Saccharomyces cerevisiae S288C: one gene and its partners. The protein of the gene in region 1 interacts with the protein of each later gene in a biochemical or structural test. Each region holds a gene or a part of one and is shown on either strand. Other genes may lie near its edges.

Region 1 (6,277 bases):
ATCATGTTAAACTACTCAGGACGTATTTTCGCTTTTATTTTCGATTGTGATGTGCATCTTTCATAAAGGAATAACCCTAATGTGTTCAGAACCAAACCGAACACTTGCAGCCAAGTAATTCTTCTTCCAATAAAGACCCAACTAACCGCAATAATGGCAAAGCGCTTCATCAGATTCGCTATTGAATATGTTAAAGTTGAGACCTCACCCAGTAAATGAAATGTAATCATTGCCTGAATGAAGTGGAATGTCCCGTTCAGTAAAAATAAAGAGACTGGAAAAGCTTTTATTACTGTAGAAGAGCTGTTAATTTGAAAAAAATACCTAAATAGTACAGGAAATTCTAGAGTGATAAACCAGCCAAACGATAAACAAAATCCAACAAGGGAAATATAAATCATTAAAGTCAATTTGTCATATGATTTAGGTTTCTTTTTCGCAACAAGTTTCTCATCCAACTTTTCATATAAGGGTAAAGGTGATTCTTGCCGTGAGAATCCAGAATTACTTTGAGATTCATCTGTTTGAGATCTGTACGTGAACACGGTCTTGCCATATATATTTTGCAAGACAAAAATGAACATTGATATCATAGCGCATATTACGCCGTATTTAGAGAATTCTCTCAGCTCATTGGAAGAGGCCGGTGAACGATTATCTTCTTGAACTATAATCCAAACTCCAAGAACTAAAGTGCATAAACTAAAGATAAGAGTTAAAGTAATTTTCAAAGTGGATATTTTCAAAATCTTTTGGAGCAAAAGGATAAACATGGGGGATAGCGTTTTTATACTTGCAACCGTGGAAACAGGCACCAAAGAGGTAGCTGTATGCCCAAAATATTTCCCTACAAATTGGAAAAGACCTAAAGGTAGAACTGTTTGCAGGATTGGTTTAGAGGGCGGTATAATGAGGGAGGATAGTTTTGATTCTTTCCTAGCTGCACGGCTAGTTTCTCTGTCGTCGATATAATATTCCGGAAAAGTACCATTAGGAAATATGCGATAGAATCCTGGGAAACTATATGCAATATAACACGTAAACCATGCTAGCACAGCAGTATAAATGAACTGAAACTCACCCAAAAAAAGTGGTAATGGGCAAACCGTTAGTACCTGCTTCGTTACCTGAGATGCCAACGATGAAATAAAATACCAACTTATGCATAAAAAAATTATGTGTGCATTGTGCCTAATGGATGCCGACAGCTGTTGAAACATCGTTTTCCCCTTTTTCTTCGAGTTCCTTCATTATTATAGAAGGCATATGTCACACCGTGCCAATTTATTTGTTTGCATTTTTTTTTTTTCACCTTTCCGACAGGCGCCATTGTTATCACATTAGCAGAGTGAATTGGTTGCGATTTGAAAGAGAAAATGTATCAAAAACAAACAATTGTACCCCACCTCCCCCTAACAATCATCCATTCTGCATCCAGTAGCTAATGATAGTAAAATATTTGTACAAATTACGTTTTATTGTGTCTTTTTTGCAATTTCTTTGAATGCAATGTTGCGTATATCATTGCATCTCAGCCAAACGGTTTAACCGTTTCCAGAAAAAAAAAGTCTATAATATGCTATGCTGTTACAACTATAATAGAATTTTTATATAGTGATATGCTTTTCTATAAAAAAAGGAATGTGAAAAATGAGGGATGCAAGTGGAACTGTAAAAAAAAAAGAAAAAATAAATCTATTAGCTGACTAGTGAAGGAAAGGTTTCAAAATTGAAATTTTGGTCATCTCATCATAAAATTCTCGCATGTCGAGATCAACATCAATCTTATCAACAAATCTCTTGGTTTTCCCTTTACACTTTGTCTTTTTGATTGAAACCAGCCCACAAGTTTCTAAAATTGTACAGATTTCCAAAAATTCATTTCTCTGCAATGGTGCTAAAGTATCAGTTTTTGTTATCGCTTTGATATAATGATCAAACGATTCGTCGATTGTAGCATCGGAATTTAGCTTCAGTGATTGAATTATGGTGCAAAGAATTAATTTTTGCTGGATGTTTAGTTTGGCTATCCTCGTTCTCGTAGAATTATTGTTCACGAATTTTGAGAAGACCTTGGCTATGTAGTTCAAGCCTATTTTACCTTGTGGTTCTGGATACGATTTCTTTACCGGAGAAGTAGTTGGCGTCAAAGGAACTTGCGCAGAGTTCAATGATCCTCTTGTTGGTGAAAGCAGAAACCGCTTTTCTAACTCATAGATTTCGATACTTCCCCTTAAGACATCAAAAAGTTTTCGAAGGTCACCCGTATTTCCAGCACACTTCTTTGCTGCGAATTTGATGGCCATCGGTTGGAAGATAATAGTGGGCAGACTACTCATTTTTTGAATGACGATTTCATACATTTGCTCAGCAGTGTATGGCTGAAAAACTATAGTTTGCGGTAACAACCCTCTGTCCAAATTTAACCTGGAAAGAAACCTATCTTTCATATCTAGACTATTAGCCATACCGATTAACACAAAACTCACAGTAGGCAATTTCGCCAAAAGGAATAATTCAAGAATAGTTCTAACTGATTGTGTCTCGCTCGTGTTAGCATGCAATAGCCTGTCCATCTCGTCCAACACAACCACAAACGTAGTTTTCTTATGATAAGGCTCTAAGAACTTCTGTAGATGCTGCATGTTTTTTATTTGCAATGTTGGGCCATTCAGATCTTGGAAGGAATCGAAAATCTTCTGGAAAATGGAGGACGGCTCTCCCAACGATATACAATTAATACTGGTTACCGCCACGGATTCTAGCCTTCCATCGGGCAATTCAAACCAGGACAAATTCTGCAAGTTCGGATTCGTATGTCTCAGCACGTCCTTCGAGCGTGGCGTGGAGAGCGACAATGGGAGGGACTGGAACTTCTGTCTTATAATCATATCAAGCTGGGCAGTCTTGCCAGTGCCAGGCGGACCCGTGATGTACAGTGAATCGGACCTGTGTTCAGAAATTGCCTTCGCCAAAAAATTCATAACTTGTTCGTACTCTGCTGTTCTTGCTGGCAATGCACCATCGCTGCTATTCAAGTTGACTAGCTCAGATGACTTCTGCAAAAGTGCCTTTGTCCTCAAAAAAATAGACTGTGAGCCAAACTGCAGTTTTTCTGGGGATGATTCTGGTGTAACATCTGTGAACTGCAACTTTTTTCTTTTCAAAGGTCGTGGAGGCGTTGCTGGAGCATCGTCAAATAGATTTCTTCTGATACGCTTAGTTGGAGTTATTGGTATAGCTGACATGAACGTATATGGTACTATTGATGAAAATAGTGCAGCGCAGTGTTCTGAATATTCCAAAATTGTTCTTCCAGAGAATATACCTCTACTATATAAATGAAAAAATAGACTAACTAATACTATTTTTCAAGATGGCGTTATATCTTTTCTGCCAGCCAACTCAATTTCCTAAGTGGGTAATTTCCTGATCTGGAAACTCCGACGCGTGAGGCCTCGCGTCGCTTTCTTCTTTGGGTAATTCAGGGAAAACAAAGGAATGCAGACTAGCAACTAGTTTCAAAACACAACAAATCGCAAGCCAGACATATTTTGTTGAAACTACAGATATTTCTGCTGCTTTTATTACCTTGCACTTACGTGACGTGACGAAATATTAGTTCTAAACTCAGGGTCTTGGCTTACCCGCGTCGGCTTTACGGATTAGTAAACCGAAGGACATAAGGGAAAGAAAGGAAGCCAGAAAAAGAGGTAGAAGTATATAAGACTAACTGATATGAATATTAAGGTAGGATACCTTATCAATTTTAAGGAACTTGAGAGCTAAATTTGCAAGCAAGTATGGTAAGTGATTGGAAAAATTTTTGCCTCGAGAAAGCCTCTAGGTTTCGCCCAACAATAGATAGGCCTTTTTTTAATATTTATTTGTGGGACTATTTCAATCGTGCGGTTGGGTGGGCCACTGCAGGTCGCTTCCAGCCAAAGGATTTTGAGTTTACCGTTGGGAAGCAGCCTTTGAGTGAACCTCGTCCGGTACTGCTTTTTATTGCCATGTATTATGTGGTTATATTTGGCGGGAGGTCCCTGGTAAAGTCATGTAAACCTCTCAAGTTGAGATTTATTTCTCAAGTCCATAACTTGATGTTGACTTCTGTTTCCTTTTTATGGTTGATTTTGATGGTGGAACAGATGCTACCCATAGTGTATCGCCATGGGCTGTATTTTGCTGTTTGTAATGTTGAATCGTGGACGCAACCGATGGAGACATTATATTATCTCAACTATATGACAAAGTTTGTGGAGTTCGCAGACACTGTCTTGATGGTGTTGAAACATAGAAAGTTGACTTTCCTACATACATACCATCATGGTGCTACAGCTTTACTGTGCTATAATCAATTGGTTGGTTACACAGCAGTTACATGGGTTCCTGTCACCTTAAACTTAGCTGTTCACGTTCTTATGTATTGGTATTATTTCCTTTCTGCTAGCGGAATTCGTGTTTGGTGGAAAGCCTGGGTTACAAGACTACAAATTGTGCAGTTCATGCTTGATCTCATTGTCGTTTATTACGTGCTTTATCAGAAGATTGTTGCTGCATATTTCAAAAATGCTTGTACTCCACAGTGTGAGGATTGCTTAGGTTCAATGACGGCTATTGCTGCTGGTGCAGCCATTCTTACATCCTACTTGTTTTTGTTCATCTCTTTCTATATTGAGGTTTACAAACGTGGAAGTGCTAGTGGTAAGAAGAAGATCAACAAAAACAATTAACCAGTCCTTCTGTTTTGTTTTTTTCTGTTTTTCTTCCTATCTTGTATTTGACTTATATATAGACTGTTTTATTCGAAATAATCATTTTGCTTCGTTTATGTAATTTTTGTATTCATAAGCCAGTATTTTCTCTTCTTTTTTATTTTTTTTTTGGAATGTCGCGCCCAGGACAAAAACATATAATTTATTAGCCTAGGCAGTAAATAGTAGGCGAAAAAGATTGAAAAGTATTATACATGTGGAAATTTATTAATTTTATCTATCATATAAACTCATGTCATTATTCTGGCGATTCTAGTGTCACACCATTTTTTAAATTCAAATCAGCGACTTCGTTTTCTGGGCATCCCTCAGATATTTCAGACGTACTCGATGAACCCAAGCCTGAATTATTCTTGTAGACTTTTTTCAACAATCTTAACTTTCTCCTACCTGAATTTGTCCTCTCACCATCATCATTGTCATCTTCGTCGTTGCAGTCCTGAGTTTCAATATGCCCAACCTCCAAACTACGATTACTATATTCAGGGGCCTGCACATCTTCATTACATTCTATCATATCATCAGAAACATCTTCCTCCTCGTCAGTCTTATTAAATTCATACAACTTCATCTGTTCATCGTATATCTTTTTGATACGCTCATCATATCCGTGGCGTGACTTTTGGATTATTTCCTGTAGTTTAGAGCTGCCTAATCCATTGCCATCTTTATGACGGCGAATGTAAAATAGCAAATAAGCCGATCCAGCTATACTATTTTCTGGCGCAGTTTCAGTTACTCGAGAATCATCAAAATAGTACCATTTATTGTCGGCAAAATTCTTTACGTACGCGGTATAGTGCCCACCACCCAAACCACCATAGTGGTTATCTACTGCATACAGGTCATAGATTAAACCTCTGGGATCATCTTTATAGACAACGTACCTCGACAGATCCAAATCTGTAATGGGGAAATTAACCGTGGCATCAATTTTATCGCTAAAAGACCTTTGACTTTCAAACCTTTTAAGGTGAATTAGCAGAATATCTGGTGTATTCCAAAGTTGTATTTGTTTGGTAGCCTGACGATGTTCCTTGCATGTAGGGCAGTACCACGAATCGGTTAATCCTAGTATTTCTGGTTTGGAAAATAATTGGAGACAATCGTCCAAGGTTATGGTTCTTTCCTTAGCGTTAGATCTTTCCAACTTAGCGTTCTCCAACTCTTTGTTAGGCAAAGTAGCTGGATTTTCCCAGTTATATATTTTATCATCGGAAAATGCCTCATTTGAACCCAATTCGCTCCACTCACAAACAATAATATCATTCATAGAAAGAATCGCAAACGGAGTGGAAGTCAAGCTATCCTTAATTTTATCTAACGCCTCTGGCTTATCTGTTAATTCTGGCTCTGTACTTGCATCTTCTTCAACATCATCTGTTAGTTCCATATCTTCATCCCGATCATTAGTATTATTTACATTTTCATTATTTGTTACAGTTTCTTTATTTTCTTCATCATCTCCCGATTGGAAGGGCTTGGAAAAATTCTTTGCT
Region 2 (6,066 bases), on another chromosome or scaffold:
AAAAAAGCTCAGGTTCATTCCACTCACGTGTGGTGCTTGAATCAATTAATAAATTGGGGGAAACTCGGAATGACTTATGATTCAACCAATCTTGCAGCTCAAGTTTGCCAAAATCCGACGGGCGACGAATATAATGTTCATACCTGTCTAAACCATGAGTTCGCAAACCTAGCATACCTAATTGACACCGTACTACTTTAATTAGACCCAGAAACGAAACGGAATGTGAAGCGATTTCTTCTCTTCTTCCAATTCTTTTGCAGAGCCCATCTCTGGCAAAGGGCCATTTGTTGGAAATCACTCTAACATGGCTTCTGTTTCCCGATAATATGCGGGTAATGCCTCGCACTTCCTTTGGTTTTGAATTTATGCTATTCTCTTTCTTTGCACATCTAACTTGAAGTGATTAGTACCAGATTGAGCTCAGCTTCTCAAAATTATTTCGAACATATCAATTTAGTTTGTAAGTCATAAAAATCGATATTTTTTGCTTTTTCCTTTTTTCCTAAATCTTCTTGACTGCTTGCAATCTTTGTATCTTCATCTTTCCTTTCTCATGTTTCCAAATTTAGCCTGTATATTCATAGAGACTTCTTAAAGTAAATTTTGGCAGGATAATAGGGTACTGAAATCTATGTTGCTTTTTATATCCTGGCGCTACTTAGCCGCCCAACCTTTTTGTCTTCTTGTCTTTTTTTCTTTTTGGCTTTATTTCTCATCAGATCACGCACCACGGAATGAAAATTTTTTTGCGGAAATCAGCATCGCTAAAGAAAAGCAGAAATAGAAGCAGAAGAGATAGATATAACTACAGAGTTAGAGAAGATCAGTAGACCAATAAGCGGGATTATCATAAAACTCGAGTTTATATTAGCTTTCATCTGTCTTTAGGAAAATAATACCATAATAAAAAGGACACATCATGGCTCCACCAAAGAAAACCGTAAAGAAGATGGACCTTACGTCATTTTTAAATGATGACACCTTTGGTTCATCTTGGGCTGAAGAAGATGTCGATTTGAATAAGATCACAATTCCTATTGAAACCGCTAATGCAAACACTATTCCATTGTCCGAATTGGCTCATGCTAAAAACAACAGCAATAACACGCGTTCAGGCGGCTTTGGTGGCAGTTTTGGAGGTAGATCTAGATTAGACCCTGCTTTGGGGGGCGGTTCTTCCGATAGAAGAGAGGAATACCCTGTTCCAGATGCTCCACCATATAGGGCTGTCATAAACAACATTCCATGGGATATTACCCCAGAGGGTGTTCAAGCCTGGGTTGAAGATGGTTTAGTTAAGCCTGAAGCGGTTGAAGAAGTTGTTTTGCCAAAGAATCTAAGAGACCCAACAAGATTAAAGGGTAATGCTTTCGTTACTTTGAAAGAAAGAGCAGATTTGGTCGCCGTTCTGAAGTTCAACGGTACTAAATTGAATGAGAGAACTGTTTACGTTTCTGTTGCGGCTCCAAGAAGAGGGGGAGGTGCAGATGTTGATTGGAGTAGTGCTAGAGGCTCCAATTTCCAAGGTGATGGAAGAGAAGATGCACCAGATCTTGATTGGGGTGCCGCTAGAGGTTCTAACTTCAGAGGTCCAAGAAGAGAAAGAGAAGAAGTTGATATTGACTGGACTGCTGCAAGAGGTTCCAATTTCCAAGGCTCTTCCAGACCACCAAGAAGAGAAAGAGAAGAAGTTGATATCGACTGGAGCGCTGCAAGAGGCTCCAATTTCCAAGGCTCTTCCAGACCACCAAGAAGAGAAAGAGAAGAGCCAGATATTGACTGGAGTGCAGCTAGAGGCTCTAACTTTCAAAGCTCCTCGAGGCCACCAAGAAGAGAAAGAGAAGAGCCAGATATTGACTGGAGTGCAGCCAGAGGTTCCAACTTCCAAAGCTCCTCAAGACCACCAAGAAGAGAAAGAGAAAAGGAAGAACCAGCTTTGGATTGGGGTGCTGCCAGAGGTGCTCAGTTTGGTAAGCCTCAACAAACCAAAAATACCTACAAGGATAGGTCTCTAACTAACAAAAAGACTACTGATGAGCAACCAAAAATCCAGAAGTCTGTTTATGATGTTTTACGTACTGAAGATGATGATGAAGATGAAGAGGCTGAAAAGCAAAATGGAGACGCAAAAGAAAACAAAGTTGATGCGGCAGTTGAAAAGCTACAGGATAAAACTGCTCAATTGACTGTTGAAGATGGTGACAATTGGGAAGTTGTTGGTAAGAAATAGAGTGTTGTATGATGATAAAATGTACATTTGTATTTACTGTTTGCTTTTTTTCTTTCTTGTTTTTCTACTCTCCTTTCTACCAGGTATTCTAACTCTATTATATAATTAAAAAAAAAATAACCATATATTTTGTATTAAGTTTCATACATGTGTTCAAGTGTATTTTTGGATTTATCATTTTTCTATGTGAGGTAAGTTTTTGAATGTCCCATTTTCCTTTCGTTTTTGGAAAGTTCTAAGAAAAAGCATTAACAATTAAAAAAAAAAAAAAAATCTAAATAATACTGATAGAAATATCAAATATAAACTACTAATATCGGTAATATTCAAAAGAAGAAGCATGACTATAAGCGAAGCTCGTCTATCACCGCAAGTCAATCTTCTCCCAATAAAGAGGCACTCAAACGAAGAGGTAGAGGAGACTGCAGCGATTCTAAAAAAGCGTACTATAGATAATGAAAAGTGTAAAGACAGCGACCCTGGTTTTGGTTCCCTTCAAAGAAGGTTACTGCAGCAACTTTATGGCACACTTCCTACGGACGAAAAGATAATCTTCACATATTTACAAGATTGTCAACAAGAGATCGATAGAATCATTAAACAATCCATTATTCAGAAAGAGAGTCATTCAGTAATTCTCGTGGGGCCCAGACAAAGTTACAAAACATACTTATTAGACTATGAACTGTCTTTGTTGCAACAATCTTATAAAGAGCAGTTTATAACTATCAGGTTGAATGGGTTTATTCACTCCGAACAAACAGCTATTAACGGTATAGCAACTCAATTGGAACAGCAGTTGCAGAAAATTCATGGCAGTGAAGAAAAAATTGACGATACTTCATTAGAGACTATTAGCAGTGGTTCTTTGACAGAAGTGTTTGAGAAAATTCTTTTACTCTTAGATTCGACCACGAAGACAAGAAATGAAGATAGTGGTGAGGTTGACAGAGAGAGTATAACAAAGATAACAGTTGTTTTTATATTCGATGAAATTGATACATTTGCTGGGCCTGTGAGGCAAACTTTATTATACAATCTTTTTGACATGGTAGAACATTCTCGGGTACCTGTTTGCATTTTTGGCTGCACAACGAAATTAAATATCTTGGAATATTTAGAAAAGAGGGTAAAGAGTAGATTTTCTCAAAGAGTGATTTATATGCCGCAAATACAGAATCTAGACGATATGGTTGACGCCGTCAGAAATTTACTTACAGTTCGCTCTGAAATCTCCCCCTGGGTTTCACAATGGAATGAAACGTTGGAAAAAGAACTATCCGACCCTCGATCGAATTTGAATAGACATATTAGGATGAATTTCGAAACCTTTAGGTCATTACCTACATTGAAAAATAGCATAATTCCATTAGTAGCGACATCCAAAAATTTTGGTTCACTCTGCACTGCCATAAAATCGTGTTCTTTTCTTGACATATACAATAAGAACCAACTATCTAATAATTTAACAGGAAGGCTCCAATCTTTATCCGATTTAGAGTTAGCCATTTTGATCTCAGCCGCTAGGGTTGCCTTAAGGGCGAAAGACGGATCTTTTAATTTTAATTTAGCTTATGCAGAGTATGAAAAGATGATTAAAGCTATCAACTCCAGAATTCCCACCGTGGCTCCTACTACAAATGTGGGAACAGGTCAAAGTACTTTTTCTATCGACAATACTATCAAACTATGGTTGAAAAAGGACGTCAAGAACGTTTGGGAAAATTTAGTGCAACTGGATTTTTTTACCGAGAAATCAGCCGTTGGTTTGAGAGATAATGCGACCGCAGCATTTTACGCTAGCAATTATCAATTTCAGGGCACCATGATCCCGTTTGACTTGAGAAGTTACCAGATGCAGATCATTCTTCAGGAATTAAGAAGAATTATCCCCAAATCTAATATGTACTACTCCTGGACACAACTGTGAATCTTGGGAACAATATACAGACATTTTATTGGCGGTAGCAACTCTGATATTCCACTGTTCAGCTTTCCTAATAAGTAAGTTCAAGATTATGTGGTCATCGCGTCGAACGGAAATACACCCATACACCAAACCTCTGTGAATTTGAAAAATTCACATATGCATTTAATAGAGCATAGGCAATGTAGAGAGAGAAATTAACAATGGTGAAAAGAAATATTACCAAACACCAGCAAAAGAAATTGTATAGTATTAGCAGTACATTCGTGGTCAAGCAGAATAACAGTAAAATAATATGAGTGATAATGGTTCCCCCGCGGTTCTTCCAAAAACCGAATTTAATAAATACAAAATCGGCAAAGTGAAGAGTACACCAGCCATCCAGCGAGATGCGAAGACTAACTTAACATACATCAAACTAAGAAAAAGAAGTAGTGAGAAAGTTTACGGGTGTACAGTTTTCCAGAATCATTATCGTGAGGATGAAAAATTAGGACAAGGAACATTTGGTGAGGTTTATAAGGGAATTCATTTAGAGACTCAAAGACAAGTGGCAATGAAAAAAATTATAGTTAGCGTTGAAAAAGATCTGTTTCCTATAACTGCACAACGAGAAATTACTATTTTAAAGCGTTTAAACCACAAAAATATTATTAAACTAATCGAAATGGTGTATGACCATTCACCGGATATTACAAATGCGGCATCCAGCAACCTACATAAGTCATTCTACATGATCCTGCCGTATATGGTAGCAGATCTGTCGGGCGTTTTGCATAATCCGAGAATCAACTTAGAGATGTGCGATATAAAGAATATGATGCTACAAATATTAGAAGGCCTAAATTATATTCATTGTGCAAAATTCATGCATAGGGATATAAAGACAGCAAATATTTTGATTGACCACAACGGTGTTTTAAAGCTTGCTGATTTTGGTTTAGCAAGATTATATTATGGCTGTCCTCCAAACTTAAAGTATCCTGGTGGTGCAGGTTCCGGCGCCAAATATACATCAGTAGTCGTAACGAGATGGTATAGAGCACCTGAGTTGGTGCTTGGTGATAAACAGTATACAACAGCTGTTGATATATGGGGTGTCGGATGCGTTTTCGCAGAATTTTTTGAGAAAAAACCTATTTTACAGGGAAAAACGGATATTGATCAGGGACATGTTATTTTCAAACTACTTGGTACACCGACAGAAGAAGATTGGGCCGTGGCTAGATATTTGCCAGGTGCTGAACTAACAACAACTAATTACAAGCCAACGTTGAGGGAAAGATTTGGTAAATATCTAAGTGAAACAGGTCTAGATTTTTTAGGACAGTTGTTAGCGTTAGATCCTTACAAGAGGTTGACCGCTATGTCTGCTAAACACCATCCTTGGTTTAAAGAGGACCCTTTACCATCAGAGAAGATAACATTACCGACGGAAGAAAGTCATGAAGCTGATATTAAGAGGTACAAGGAAGAAATGCACCAATCATTGTCCCAAAGAGTACCTACTGCGCCAAGAGGTCATATAGTTGAAAAGGGTGAATCACCTGTCGTGAAAAATCTTGGGGCGATCCCAAGAGGCCCCAAGAAAGATGACGCAAGTTTTTTGCCTCCATCAAAGAACGTATTGGCTAAGCCGCCTCCTTCGAAAATAAGAGAACTACATCAAAATCCTAGACCGTATCATGTGAACAGCGGATATGCTAAAACTGCGATTCCACCGCCAGCAGCCCCTGCAGGAGTTAATAGATACGGACCCAACAATAGTTCCAGAAATAATCGCTTCAGCGGCAACAGCACTGCACCCAACAACAGCAGGAATCCCGTAAATCGATTTCATCCTGAGACAAATGTCAGCTCTAAATATAATAAAGTACCTTTGCCATTGGGGCCTCAGTCAAGATAC
Region 3 (7,380 bases), on another chromosome or scaffold:
AGCAAAGAAAATTTTAGATGAAGATCATTATGGTATGGTAGATGTCAAGGATCGTATCTTGGAGTTTATTGCCGTCGGTAAACTATTGGGTAAAGTCGATGGTAAAATCATATGTTTCGTAGGACCCCCAGGTGTTGGTAAAACGTCCATAGGTAAATCTATCGCTAGAGCTCTTAACAGGAAATTCTTCCGATTTTCTGTAGGCGGTATGACGGACGTGGCAGAAATAAAAGGTCATAGGAGAACGTATATTGGTGCCTTACCTGGCAGAGTAGTTCAAGCATTAAAGAAGTGCCAAACTCAAAATCCTTTGATTTTGATAGATGAAATCGATAAGATTGGACACGGCGGCATACACGGCGATCCGTCCGCGGCATTGTTAGAAGTATTGGACCCTGAACAAAACAACAGCTTCTTGGATAACTACTTGGATATTCCTATTGACTTATCAAAAGTGCTTTTCGTTTGCACTGCTAACTCTTTGGAAACTATTCCAAGACCTTTACTGGATCGTATGGAAGTCATTGAGTTGACAGGATATGTTGCTGAAGACAAGGTTAAGATTGCCGAGCAGTATTTAGTTCCAAGTGCCAAGAAAAGCGCTGGTCTAGAAAACTCTCATGTTGATATGACAGAAGATGCAATAACAGCGTTAATGAAGTACTACTGTAGAGAAAGTGGTGTAAGGAATTTGAAAAAACACATCGAGAAAATATACCGTAAAGCAGCCCTACAAGTGGTAAAGAAGTTGAGTATTGAAGATTCCCCAACGTCATCAGCCGACAGCAAGCCTAAAGAAAGCGTTTCTTCCGAAGAAAAGGCGGAAAATAACGCCAAAAGCTCATCGGAGAAGACTAAGGACAATAATTCGGAAAAGACAAGCGATGACATTGAAGCCTTAAAGACCTCTGAAAAGATCAATGTTTCCATATCCCAGAAAAACCTAAAAGATTACGTTGGGCCTCCAGTCTACACTACAGACCGGTTATACGAAACAACTCCACCAGGGGTAGTTATGGGGTTGGCGTGGACTAATATGGGAGGTTGCTCACTTTATGTAGAATCTGTCCTTGAACAACCTTTACACAACTGCAAGCATCCAACATTTGAAAGGACCGGGCAACTGGGAGATGTTATGAAGGAATCATCAAGGCTTGCTTATTCATTCGCCAAGATGTATTTAGCACAAAAATTCCCTGAGAACAGATTTTTTGAAAAGGCGTCTATCCACTTGCATTGTCCTGAAGGTGCTACCCCTAAAGATGGTCCATCTGCAGGTGTCACTATGGCCACTTCCTTCCTTTCCCTAGCATTGAATAAGTCGATTGACCCAACGGTTGCGATGACCGGTGAATTGACACTTACCGGTAAAGTTTTACGTATCGGTGGGTTGAGAGAAAAAGCTGTGGCCGCTAAAAGATCTGGTGCCAAGACTATTATTTTCCCTAAAGATAACTTAAATGATTGGGAGGAACTTCCAGACAATGTAAAGGAAGGGTTGGAACCTTTAGCTGCTGATTGGTATAATGATATATTCCAAAAATTATTCAAGGATGTGAATACGAAAGAAGGTAATTCAGTATGGAAGGCTGAATTTGAGATTTTGGATGCTAAAAAGGAAAAGGACTAACTTTTCATCTAAATGGATTAAATACCTGTTTAAACATTCTGTAAATATTTAAACATAAACATCAATTTTATTACACAATACTAAATTCTTTCTTTTCTTCGTGAAGTATGTATGTGGGAAACCCAAGATGGCGGAATCGCGTGTAATATTATTTATCATATGCCTTTTTTAGGAAATCTAATTACTTACCGAAGAAAATAGGACAACGAAAAATTTCGAGAAACGAAACCAGAAAGTAAATGGTGAATATCCTATAATCTACACATTTTGGTACAGTTTACTTAATAATACTCCACACACCTCTTTGCCTCTTTTCTAAGAAGTATAACACAACTACAATATAAGTGATGTCTGATAATAGAAGACGTAGACGTGAGGAAGATGATTCGGACTCAGAAAATGAGCTACCGCCATCCTCACCTCAGCAACATTTTAGAGGGGGGATGAACCCAGTTTCATCACCTATTGGTTCTCCAGATATGATTAACCCTGAAGGTGACGATAATGAAGTTGACGATGTACCAGATATTGATGAAGTTGAAGAACAAATGAACGAAGTAGATTTGATGGACGATAATATGTATGAGGATTATGCGGCTGATCATAATAGAGATAGATATGATCCAGATCAAGTTGACGACAGGGAACAACAAGAACTATCTTTAAGCGAACGTCGCCGCATTGATGCTCAACTAAATGAAAGAGATAGGCTATTGAGAAATGTTGCCTACATAGATGACGAGGACGAAGAACAAGAAGGTGCAGCGCAACTTGATGAAATGGGCCTTCCTGTGCAAAGACGAAGAAGGAGAAGGCAGTATGAGGACTTAGAGAATAGTGATGACGATCTATTGAGTGACATGGACATTGACCCATTAAGAGAAGAACTTACTTTAGAATCTCTGAGTAACGTTAAGGCTAACAGTTACTCGGAATGGATAACACAACCTAATGTCTCAAGAACTATTGCCAGAGAGTTAAAATCATTCCTGCTGGAATATACAGATGAAACGGGTCGTTCTGTATATGGTGCACGTATTAGAACATTAGGTGAAATGAATTCTGAATCTTTGGAGGTTAATTATAGACACTTAGCGGAGTCCAAAGCCATCCTGGCACTATTTTTAGCTAAATGTCCAGAAGAAATGTTGAAAATATTCGATCTCGTGGCTATGGAGGCAACAGAATTGCATTACCCAGATTATGCCCGTATTCACTCCGAAATTCACGTAAGAATCTCTGATTTTCCAACAATATACAGTTTACGTGAATTGCGTGAGTCTAATTTGTCCTCTCTAGTACGCGTCACTGGGGTGGTGACAAGAAGAACAGGAGTCTTCCCTCAATTAAAATATGTCAAATTCAATTGTTTGAAATGTGGCTCCATTTTGGGCCCATTTTTTCAAGATTCTAATGAAGAAATTAGAATCTCATTCTGTACAAACTGCAAATCAAAAGGTCCCTTTAGAGTCAATGGAGAAAAAACTGTGTACCGAAATTATCAAAGGGTTACGCTCCAGGAAGCTCCCGGAACCGTTCCTCCAGGCCGTCTACCAAGACATAGAGAAGTCATTTTGTTGGCGGATTTGGTAGATGTATCCAAGCCAGGTGAAGAGGTAGAAGTTACCGGCATCTACAAAAATAACTACGATGGTAACTTGAATGCAAAGAACGGATTCCCCGTTTTTGCAACAATTATCGAGGCAAATTCTATAAAAAGAAGAGAGGGCAATACAGCTAACGAAGGCGAAGAAGGGTTGGATGTTTTCAGTTGGACTGAAGAAGAAGAACGTGAATTTAGAAAGATTTCTAGGGATCGTGGTATAATTGATAAAATTATATCATCGATGGCACCGTCTATCTATGGTCATAGAGATATTAAAACTGCAGTCGCGTGCTCATTATTTGGAGGTGTTCCAAAAAACGTCAATGGAAAACATTCTATTCGTGGTGATATCAATGTGTTATTATTAGGTGATCCAGGTACTGCCAAATCTCAAATCTTAAAATACGTCGAGAAAACAGCGCATAGAGCGGTCTTTGCAACTGGTCAGGGTGCTTCGGCTGTCGGTCTGACAGCATCCGTCAGAAAAGATCCTATTACTAAAGAATGGACCTTAGAAGGGGGGGCGCTAGTATTGGCTGATAAGGGTGTTTGTTTAATTGATGAATTCGATAAGATGAACGATCAGGATCGTACATCTATTCATGAGGCTATGGAACAGCAAAGTATTTCCATTTCCAAGGCCGGTATTGTTACTACATTACAAGCGCGCTGCTCAATTATTGCTGCGGCAAATCCTAATGGTGGTAGATATAATTCAACCTTGCCTTTAGCTCAGAATGTTAGTTTGACCGAGCCTATTCTGTCTAGATTTGATATTTTATGTGTTGTCAGAGACCTTGTTGATGAAGAGGCAGACGAAAGATTGGCCACATTTGTTGTCGATTCTCATGTAAGATCTCATCCAGAAAACGATGAAGATCGAGAAGGCGAAGAGCTTAAAAATAATGGCGAATCGGCGATAGAACAAGGAGAAGATGAAATAAATGAGCAGCTTAATGCAAGGCAAAGAAGACTTCAAAGACAAAGGAAGAAGGAGGAAGAGATCTCGCCTATTCCACAGGAATTATTGATGAAATATATTCACTATGCGAGGACAAAAATATACCCTAAATTGCATCAGATGGATATGGATAAGGTTAGCAGGGTATATGCGGATTTGAGAAGAGAAAGTATTTCTACAGGTTCGTTTCCAATCACAGTTCGTCATTTAGAATCTATTCTAAGAATTGCAGAATCTTTTGCTAAAATGAGATTATCTGAATTTGTGTCTTCTTATGATTTGGATAGAGCTATCAAAGTTGTAGTTGATTCCTTTGTTGATGCCCAAAAAGTCAGTGTTCGCCGCCAACTCCGCAGGTCTTTCGCAATTTATACCTTGGGTCACTAAAACTTTGTTATTCCTACGAATATCTGGATATGAAGATAAAAAATTCTCTGTCTCAATCCATGTATTGGCAATCCTATTTTCAATATACAAGTTTCCTTTATTTTTTGTATAATTTTTATACACTGTATCTTTAATTTCAATTCAACTAAATACTCAAGATCTAGTCAAAAGTGCATTATTTACTATCCAAAAAAAAAAAAAAAAATGAAGTAAAAAAGAAGTAACAAGACCGAATAAAAAAGGCTCATTACTGAAGTATTATATTCTTATTTTTGCCTTTTAATAATATACATTTACTTTACAGTGGAGGGGATAAGAAACATGATAACTATCAATTAGCAGCGCTAGGAGCTTCAGTAGAGGTTCCGGTAGTAGTTTCTGCGGGAGATTCAGTCGTTTCTTTTTCTTTTTCTTTTTCTTCAGCGCTTGGAGTAGCCTTGGCATTCGCATCAATACCAAAGATCCTATATAATAGCTCATGAGTATCTTCTTTACAAACCATCAAATTGATACACTTGTTGCCTTTCCACACAGGCAAGAATAAGTTTTCTTTGGCAGGGTCATTTCTTGACACATCAATAAAGGCGCAACCAGAGCTTAATTTTGTCATCTTTTCAACAAAATCATTATCGATGTTCTTCGAACGAATGTCGTCAAAGTTAGGGAAAGATTCGATTAACAAGTGTTTTAACATCTCTAAATTAGCTTCAACAATTCTATTAGATTTCATATGGTGTTTCATTATTGGCAATGATTCACTTTGGATTCTCCATGAACATTCGATATCACTTCTTTGAGAGACAAACAATTTTACACCAGAATAAATAATCTTCAACCTATCGTCATTCGCTTGAATAACATCCTTCAATGCTGGACACACAGTGTAAACCACTCTTGTTGGTTCACCAGTGGCGTTACGCACTAAACAAGTGTTTCTGTCGAAAATATTATCGATGCCGTAGAAATCCCAACAAACTTTTAAAGCTTCGTGCTGTGGATCAACGAAAACAAAAGGCTCTTCGTTCGCGTCACGTGGTAGTCTTTCTTTCTTTTGGACTTCTTCTACCTTTATTTTCTTTGTTTGAGGTCCTTCAGACTCTAGAGCTGGGGTTTCAGAAGATAGTTTCTCTGTAGCCGCCTCAGTGCTATCTTCGACTTTTTCGAAAACAGTAATGAAAAATCCGCCTGTGTTTTGTTGGTGAGGATAAACCCTCATACAATTTTGTAAATTGAATTTCGATGCCTCTTCTTCAGATGGTGAAAAGAAACTATCTAGTGTACCTTCGTCTCCTTTGGTTTTCTCAGTCAAATTTCTGTCATAGACAGGCCATTTGGATACACCCTTGGATCTTATTAGGCCAGGAAGCTTATCATCACAGTTAACTAATCTAATCTTGTCACCCCACTTTCTTAACGCTTCGGCAACAACCGCTTCATTTTCAATAGGATTTAAAGAACAGGTTGAGTAAACCAATCTACCGTTGTTCTTTAGAAGATGCAAACCCCTGTTTAATATATTCAGCTGAACAGCATGCAAACCAAGACCTGCTTGTGTGTTCCAGTCTTTCCAAACATTAACATTTTTCCTCATGGTACCATCACCAGAACATGGAACGTCACACAGGATTCTGTCAAATTTTAAAACATCATTCTTGTTATTTGAGTTGCCATGTAATCTGATACGTGGGAAGAATTGGGCGTCATGGTTGACAACCATCAAGTTGGCACTGTTCAATCTCTTCAATTGGTGAACCAACATATGAGATCTTCTGGCATCGGCATCATTAGCTACAACGAAACCAGATGGTTCATCTGTATCCTTGTGCAAGGCTTCGATTAATTGAGCAGTTTTGGAGCCAGGAGCAGCACACATATCTAAAACAGTGTGATGAGGTTTTACTTCTAGAACGATTGGAGGAATCATTGAAACGGCTTCTTGTCTTGAGATATTACCAACGGCATTTTCAACAACTAAAAATCTCTGAGTTTTTGCGAATTGTTCATTCTTTCTAATAACCGTCTTAGGAACGTCCAATTGCCAAGCAAGATGGTCTGGATACCAAGGTAATTCTACAGGGGCCTTAATCTTCTCACCTTCAAACTCAACATTAGTCAAGTTTGGTAGATGTCTTTCTTTAAACAAATTCAGGACCTCACCGGCATGCTTTCTAGAACCTGTAATTCTAAAAGTTAGAGGAAGTGGAGCTTGACATGTCTTTTTAAATTCTTCCCATTGATCTTCTGGGAAAAGAGCTAAAGTCTTATAGTATTTTTCCCATTTTTCATTTTCCTTTACCAGTTCAGACCAGTTTTTTTGAGCTCTCGAGTCATCACGAGCACCAAAAGTCTTCTTGTTCCCTTTTTTGAAATTCTTTCTTCTAGCCATCCTTATAGTGTATTCTTCGGATTACAGTGTAGATAAAAGGAAGTGTTAGAACTAGTATAAGTAATATGTTTTTAACTATAGTAGGTGATTTGACGTCTTTGGAAGAACTCAGCGCTAAATTTTTCAAAGTGAAAAAAAGCTACAGAAGAGGACAAAAAAAAAGTACGTCATTTAATACGTAAGTGGGTACACTAAATGAGCGTAAGTGATACTATATTCTATAAGAAGTAATAAATACTGCTTTTGGCATAATTGAAATGCATCTACTTCTTCTCGCTAATTAAGTTTGAAAATTCAGTGCAAATTAATCTCTTCCAAAAGATATGCGCGCGGTTTCGTTACTTCAGCACCGCAAGGGATCAGCCGGACCTCTAGACTTGCCATAATTACTTCACTACTTCCTAATCGCT
Region 4 (3,872 bases), on another chromosome or scaffold:
AACTGAAATTTTTTTCTGTACATGGGGAAACAGTTGGCAAAAAAGTACTCCTTTTCTTCGTCCAGATCATGTGCACTATTTGTTTGGTAGTTTGCTGTGGAAGGTATTGTAACGTCCGTAGACATCAAAGAGAAGTTGTTATCTATCGGCACAGTTCTTGTGTTCGAGGCATTATCCAGGATTTTCCAGTTCGCGTGGTCGTCATAGTTGGGCTCGAGTAAGCTGCTTGAGTAATTCTCCTTAGTGGTGTGTTCTTCTTGATCACGGGTGGTGCCAGTCGTGAGTGGGTGGTCCGACCCTACCTCTGTATTCGCATTATGCATCTTCGAAGCCACAATATGGAAGAGTTCGAGCAGTGATGATTTCTCCTTAACTGTAGGGTCTGATAGTGTCTTGTTATCAGCTTCTAGCCCAGCAGTGGAGGAAGAGCGCGATGGCGTTAGCGATAGTGATGATGATGATGGTGAAGTCTTTACTATAGCGGGGAGCTCATCGCTTTCGCTTTCGCCCTGTCCGGTAGTACTTCTGAAGAAGTCAATCTGACGAGCCAAATCTCGCAGCGGCTTGATGGCTGAAAGTAGTCGAACATTTTCTCGCTGACAGATGGGACACGCAGTTTGCTTGTTCGAAGTTTCCCTGCATAAATCATTGAATAGCGATTCAGATATACAGCAGCCACACGTAAGCACAGAGCAGTCTTTGACTATACCGTATTGCACATGTGATTCGTCAGTACCAGTTGCACCATCGAGTGATAGCCGTTGCGGTAGATAGAGGTCGTGTTCTATATCGTCGAGCACCCTCGCTATATCCGTCTGGCGGCCCCACTTTTGTCTATGAGAGTGCATGAACGCCTATCAGTTGTGTATTTCGTACCTATGTATGTGTGAGTGTGCGTGTGCTAAATTTTACGGGTATCTTTTCAGTGCTGATAAGGTAATCATTGATGACTACTGTAATGGTAATGTTAATAAGACGAATAACTCCTCCGCTTGAAAAAGGTGTGAAAATCAAAAGTGCGCCTCATGAAATAATGATAAAGGAATCTTTATATAGCAAAGTAATCAACAAAAACGACTCTCGGTAGCCAAGTTGGTTTAAGGCGCAAGACTGTAATTTACCACTACGAAATCTTGAGATCGGGCGTTCGACTCGCCCCCGGGAGATATTTTTTTCTGAAATTTTTTTGGCTTTATTTTTTCATTAATACACCTGTGTTAGTTATGATTGCCACTAGCTTATATACGTGACTTCTGTGACTTCTGTGACTACTGATGTGTTTTTAGTAGAATACAACTGTTTTTTTCTGTAATGCGTTTTCACATATTGGCACCAGAAAGTGTCGTTACTTTATAAAGCAAGCGACTAGAACAACAATCACACACACACACACACACACACACACACACACACACACACACACACACACACACACACACAAGCTATGAGCCTGATAACGTGAGTCATTCGTTTTTTAGCCGATAGTAGAGATATGCATTTGAAGGCCATTGCTATTGTGTCAATCAAGAAAGCTGTATCACTTTCAACGGGGAATGTACTTTTAGCACCATAAGTTTTTCTTCACTTGGTTCAAAGGTAAACAAATTGAAATTGAAACAATAATGTACCAAATATTTCCGATTCGTTCGAGGTATAATACGAAACAATTGCACAGAGGCTGGGACTACAAAGTACGCTTATAAAAAAAAAAAAAAAATGCGTAGGAGTGTATACCTCGACAACACGATCGAGTTCCTGCGAGGCAGAGTATATCTCGGTGCATATGATTACACGCCGGAAGATACTGATGAGCTGGTGTTTTTTACCGTGGAGGACGCAATCTTTTACAACAGTTTCCATTTGGATTTCGGTCCCATGAACATTGGACATCTATATCGTTTTGCCGTTATTTTCCATGAAATCTTGAATGACCCAGAAAATGCCAATAAAGCCGTTGTTTTCTATTCATCTGCATCGACCAGACAACGTGCTAACGCCGCATGTATGCTTTGCTGTTATATGATCCTCGTTCAGGCATGGACTCCGCATCAAGTGCTTCAGCCGTTGGCGCAAGTAGACCCTCCCTTCATGCCATTTAGAGATGCCGGTTATTCTAATGCGGATTTCGAAATCACAATTCAAGATGTGGTTTATGGCGTTTGGAGGGCTAAGGAAAAAGGCCTTATTGATTTGCATTCCTTCAATTTGGAGAGTTACGAGAAATACGAACACGTGGAGTTTGGAGACTTCAATGTACTCACCCCAGATTTTATTGCATTTGCGTCACCACAAGAGGACCATCCAAAGGGCTATCTCGCTACCAAATCTTCACATTTGAACCAGCCGTTTAAGTCAGTTCTGAATTTTTTCGCCAACAATAACGTCCAATTAGTGGTAAGGTTGAATTCTCATTTATATAATAAAAAGCATTTTGAAGACATTGGCATTCAACATTTGGATCTAATTTTCGAAGATGGTACATGTCCTGATCTTTCCATTGTAAAAAACTTTGTTGGTGCTGCTGAAACGATAATTAAAAGGGGAGGTAAAATTGCTGTGCACTGTAAGGCTGGGCTAGGTAGAACTGGTTGTTTAATTGGTGCTCACTTAATATACACGTATGGATTTACCGCTAACGAGTGTATTGGCTTCTTAAGGTTTATAAGGCCGGGAATGGTCGTTGGCCCTCAACAGCATTGGTTATATTTACACCAGAATGATTTTAGAGAATGGAAGTACACAACCAGAATTTCTTTGAAGCCTAGTGAGGCCATTGGCGGCTTATATCCCTTAATAAGTTTAGAAGAATACCGCTTACAAAAAAAGAAACTTAAAGACGACAAGAGGGTTGCGCAAAATAACATTGAAGGTGAATTAAGAGATTTAACCATGACGCCGCCATCCAACGGTCATGGGGCGCTTAGTGCCAGAAATTCGAGCCAACCTTCTACGGCGAATAATGGAAGTAATTCATTCAAGAGCTCAGCCGTCCCACAGACTTCGCCTGGTCAGCCGAGAAAGGGCCAAAACGGTTCTAATACTATAGAAGATATCAACAATAATCGTAATCCAACTTCCCATGCGAATAGGAAGGTAGTAATAGAAAGCAACAACTCAGATGACGAATCCATGCAGGATACCAACGGCACAAGTAATCATTATCCCAAAGTTTCGCGCAAGAAAAATGATATCTCCTCTGCTTCATCGTCCCGAATGGAAGATAACGAACCCAGCGCAACGAACATCAATAATGCCGCAGATGATACCATACTAAGACAACTATTGCCCAAGAATAGGAGAGTAACGTCAGGGAGAAGGACTACAAGCGCCGCCGGTGGTATAAGAAAAATAAGTGGCTCCATCAAGAAATAATTTATTTCATTTTTATATATATATATATCATATAATAAAAAAACTTACTAATAATAACCTTGAAAAGTTTTATGCCATTTTTCCAGTGTCCCTTCTCGCTGTCTTTTCGAAAGAGTCATATGTATACCGGCAATAGTAACTTGCCTGATTTATGCATAATGCCGTTGTATTTGCTAGCCAGTTTTCCACCGCTGTCTGTGGGTTGCGACCATGCTACCTGGTACCTAGGAATAACTTCACCGTAAACAATATTTTCTCTTGCAACGTCAATCAATTTGGTTGCGATACCCAACTTCCTTGCTGTCCTGCACACCCAAATTCTCGATATGCCAATCTTAAAATCGGGGTACACATTCTGTACCAATCTTCTAGAATCATAAACCATCCAACGTCCACGACTAGATGTTTTACCATTGCCCCCATAAAGGTTCTCTATAATTATTATTCCGACCGCCCTGTCATTTCTTATGTATACAAACGCTTTGCCTTTTTCTTCTGTG

What was found.
Region 2: the proteins of CDC6 (region 1) and ORC4 form a complex in vitro, tested with the Saccharomyces cerevisiae proteins (3 studies listed by BioGRID).
Region 3: the proteins of CDC6 (region 1) and MCM2 form a complex in vitro, tested with the Saccharomyces cerevisiae proteins (3 studies listed by BioGRID).
Region 4: of the proteins of CDC6 (region 1) and CDC14, one has a biochemical effect on the other in vitro, tested with the Saccharomyces cerevisiae proteins (3 studies listed by BioGRID).

What each region holds. Positions count from the first base shown.
Region 1 is NC_001142.9:66,309-72,585, reverse strand, and holds CDC6 (AAA family ATPase CDC6), read right to left. Parts: upstream 3,249-6,277; coding exon 1,707-3,248; downstream 1-1,706. Other genes in the region: YJL193W (uncharacterized protein), read right to left, coding at 12-1,220; fatty acid elongase ELO1, read left to right, coding at 3,804-4,736; putative ubiquitin-specific protease UBP12, read right to left, coding at 5,017-6,277. UniProt on the Saccharomyces cerevisiae protein: Plays a crucial role in forming the pre-replicative complexes.
Region 2 is NC_001148.4:864,812-870,877, reverse strand, and holds ORC4 (origin recognition complex subunit 4), read left to right. Parts: upstream 1-2,573; coding exon 2,574-4,163; downstream 4,164-6,066. Other genes in the region: MMS1 (Mms1p), read right to left, coding at 1-175; TIF3 (Tif3p), read left to right, coding at 923-2,233; cyclin-dependent serine/threonine protein kinase SGV1, read left to right, coding at 4,456-6,066. UniProt on the Saccharomyces cerevisiae protein: Component of the origin recognition complex (ORC) that binds origins of replication. It has a role in both chromosomal replication and mating type transcriptional silencing. Binds to the ARS consensus sequence (ACS) of origins of replication.
Region 3 is NC_001134.8:172,124-179,503, reverse strand, and holds MCM2 (MCM DNA helicase complex subunit MCM2), read left to right. Parts: upstream 1-1,977; coding exon 1,978-4,584; downstream 4,585-7,380. Other genes in the region: ATP-dependent Lon protease PIM1, read left to right, coding at 1-1,630; NCL1 (tRNA (cytosine-C5-)-methyltransferase), read right to left, coding at 4,916-6,970. UniProt on the Saccharomyces cerevisiae protein: Acts as a component of the MCM2-7 complex (MCM complex) which is the putative replicative helicase essential for 'once per cell cycle' DNA replication initiation and elongation in eukaryotic cells.
Region 4 is NC_001138.5:207,913-211,784, reverse strand, and holds CDC14 (phosphoprotein phosphatase CDC14), read left to right. Parts: upstream 1-1,716; coding exon 1,717-3,372; downstream 3,373-3,872. Other genes in the region: PTR3 (Ptr3p), read right to left, coding at 1-848; ECO1 (Eco1p), read right to left, coding at 3,488-3,872. UniProt on the Saccharomyces cerevisiae protein: Protein phosphatase which antagonizes mitotic cyclin-dependent kinase CDC28, the inactivation of which is essential for exit from mitosis. To access its substrates, is released from nucleolar sequestration during mitosis.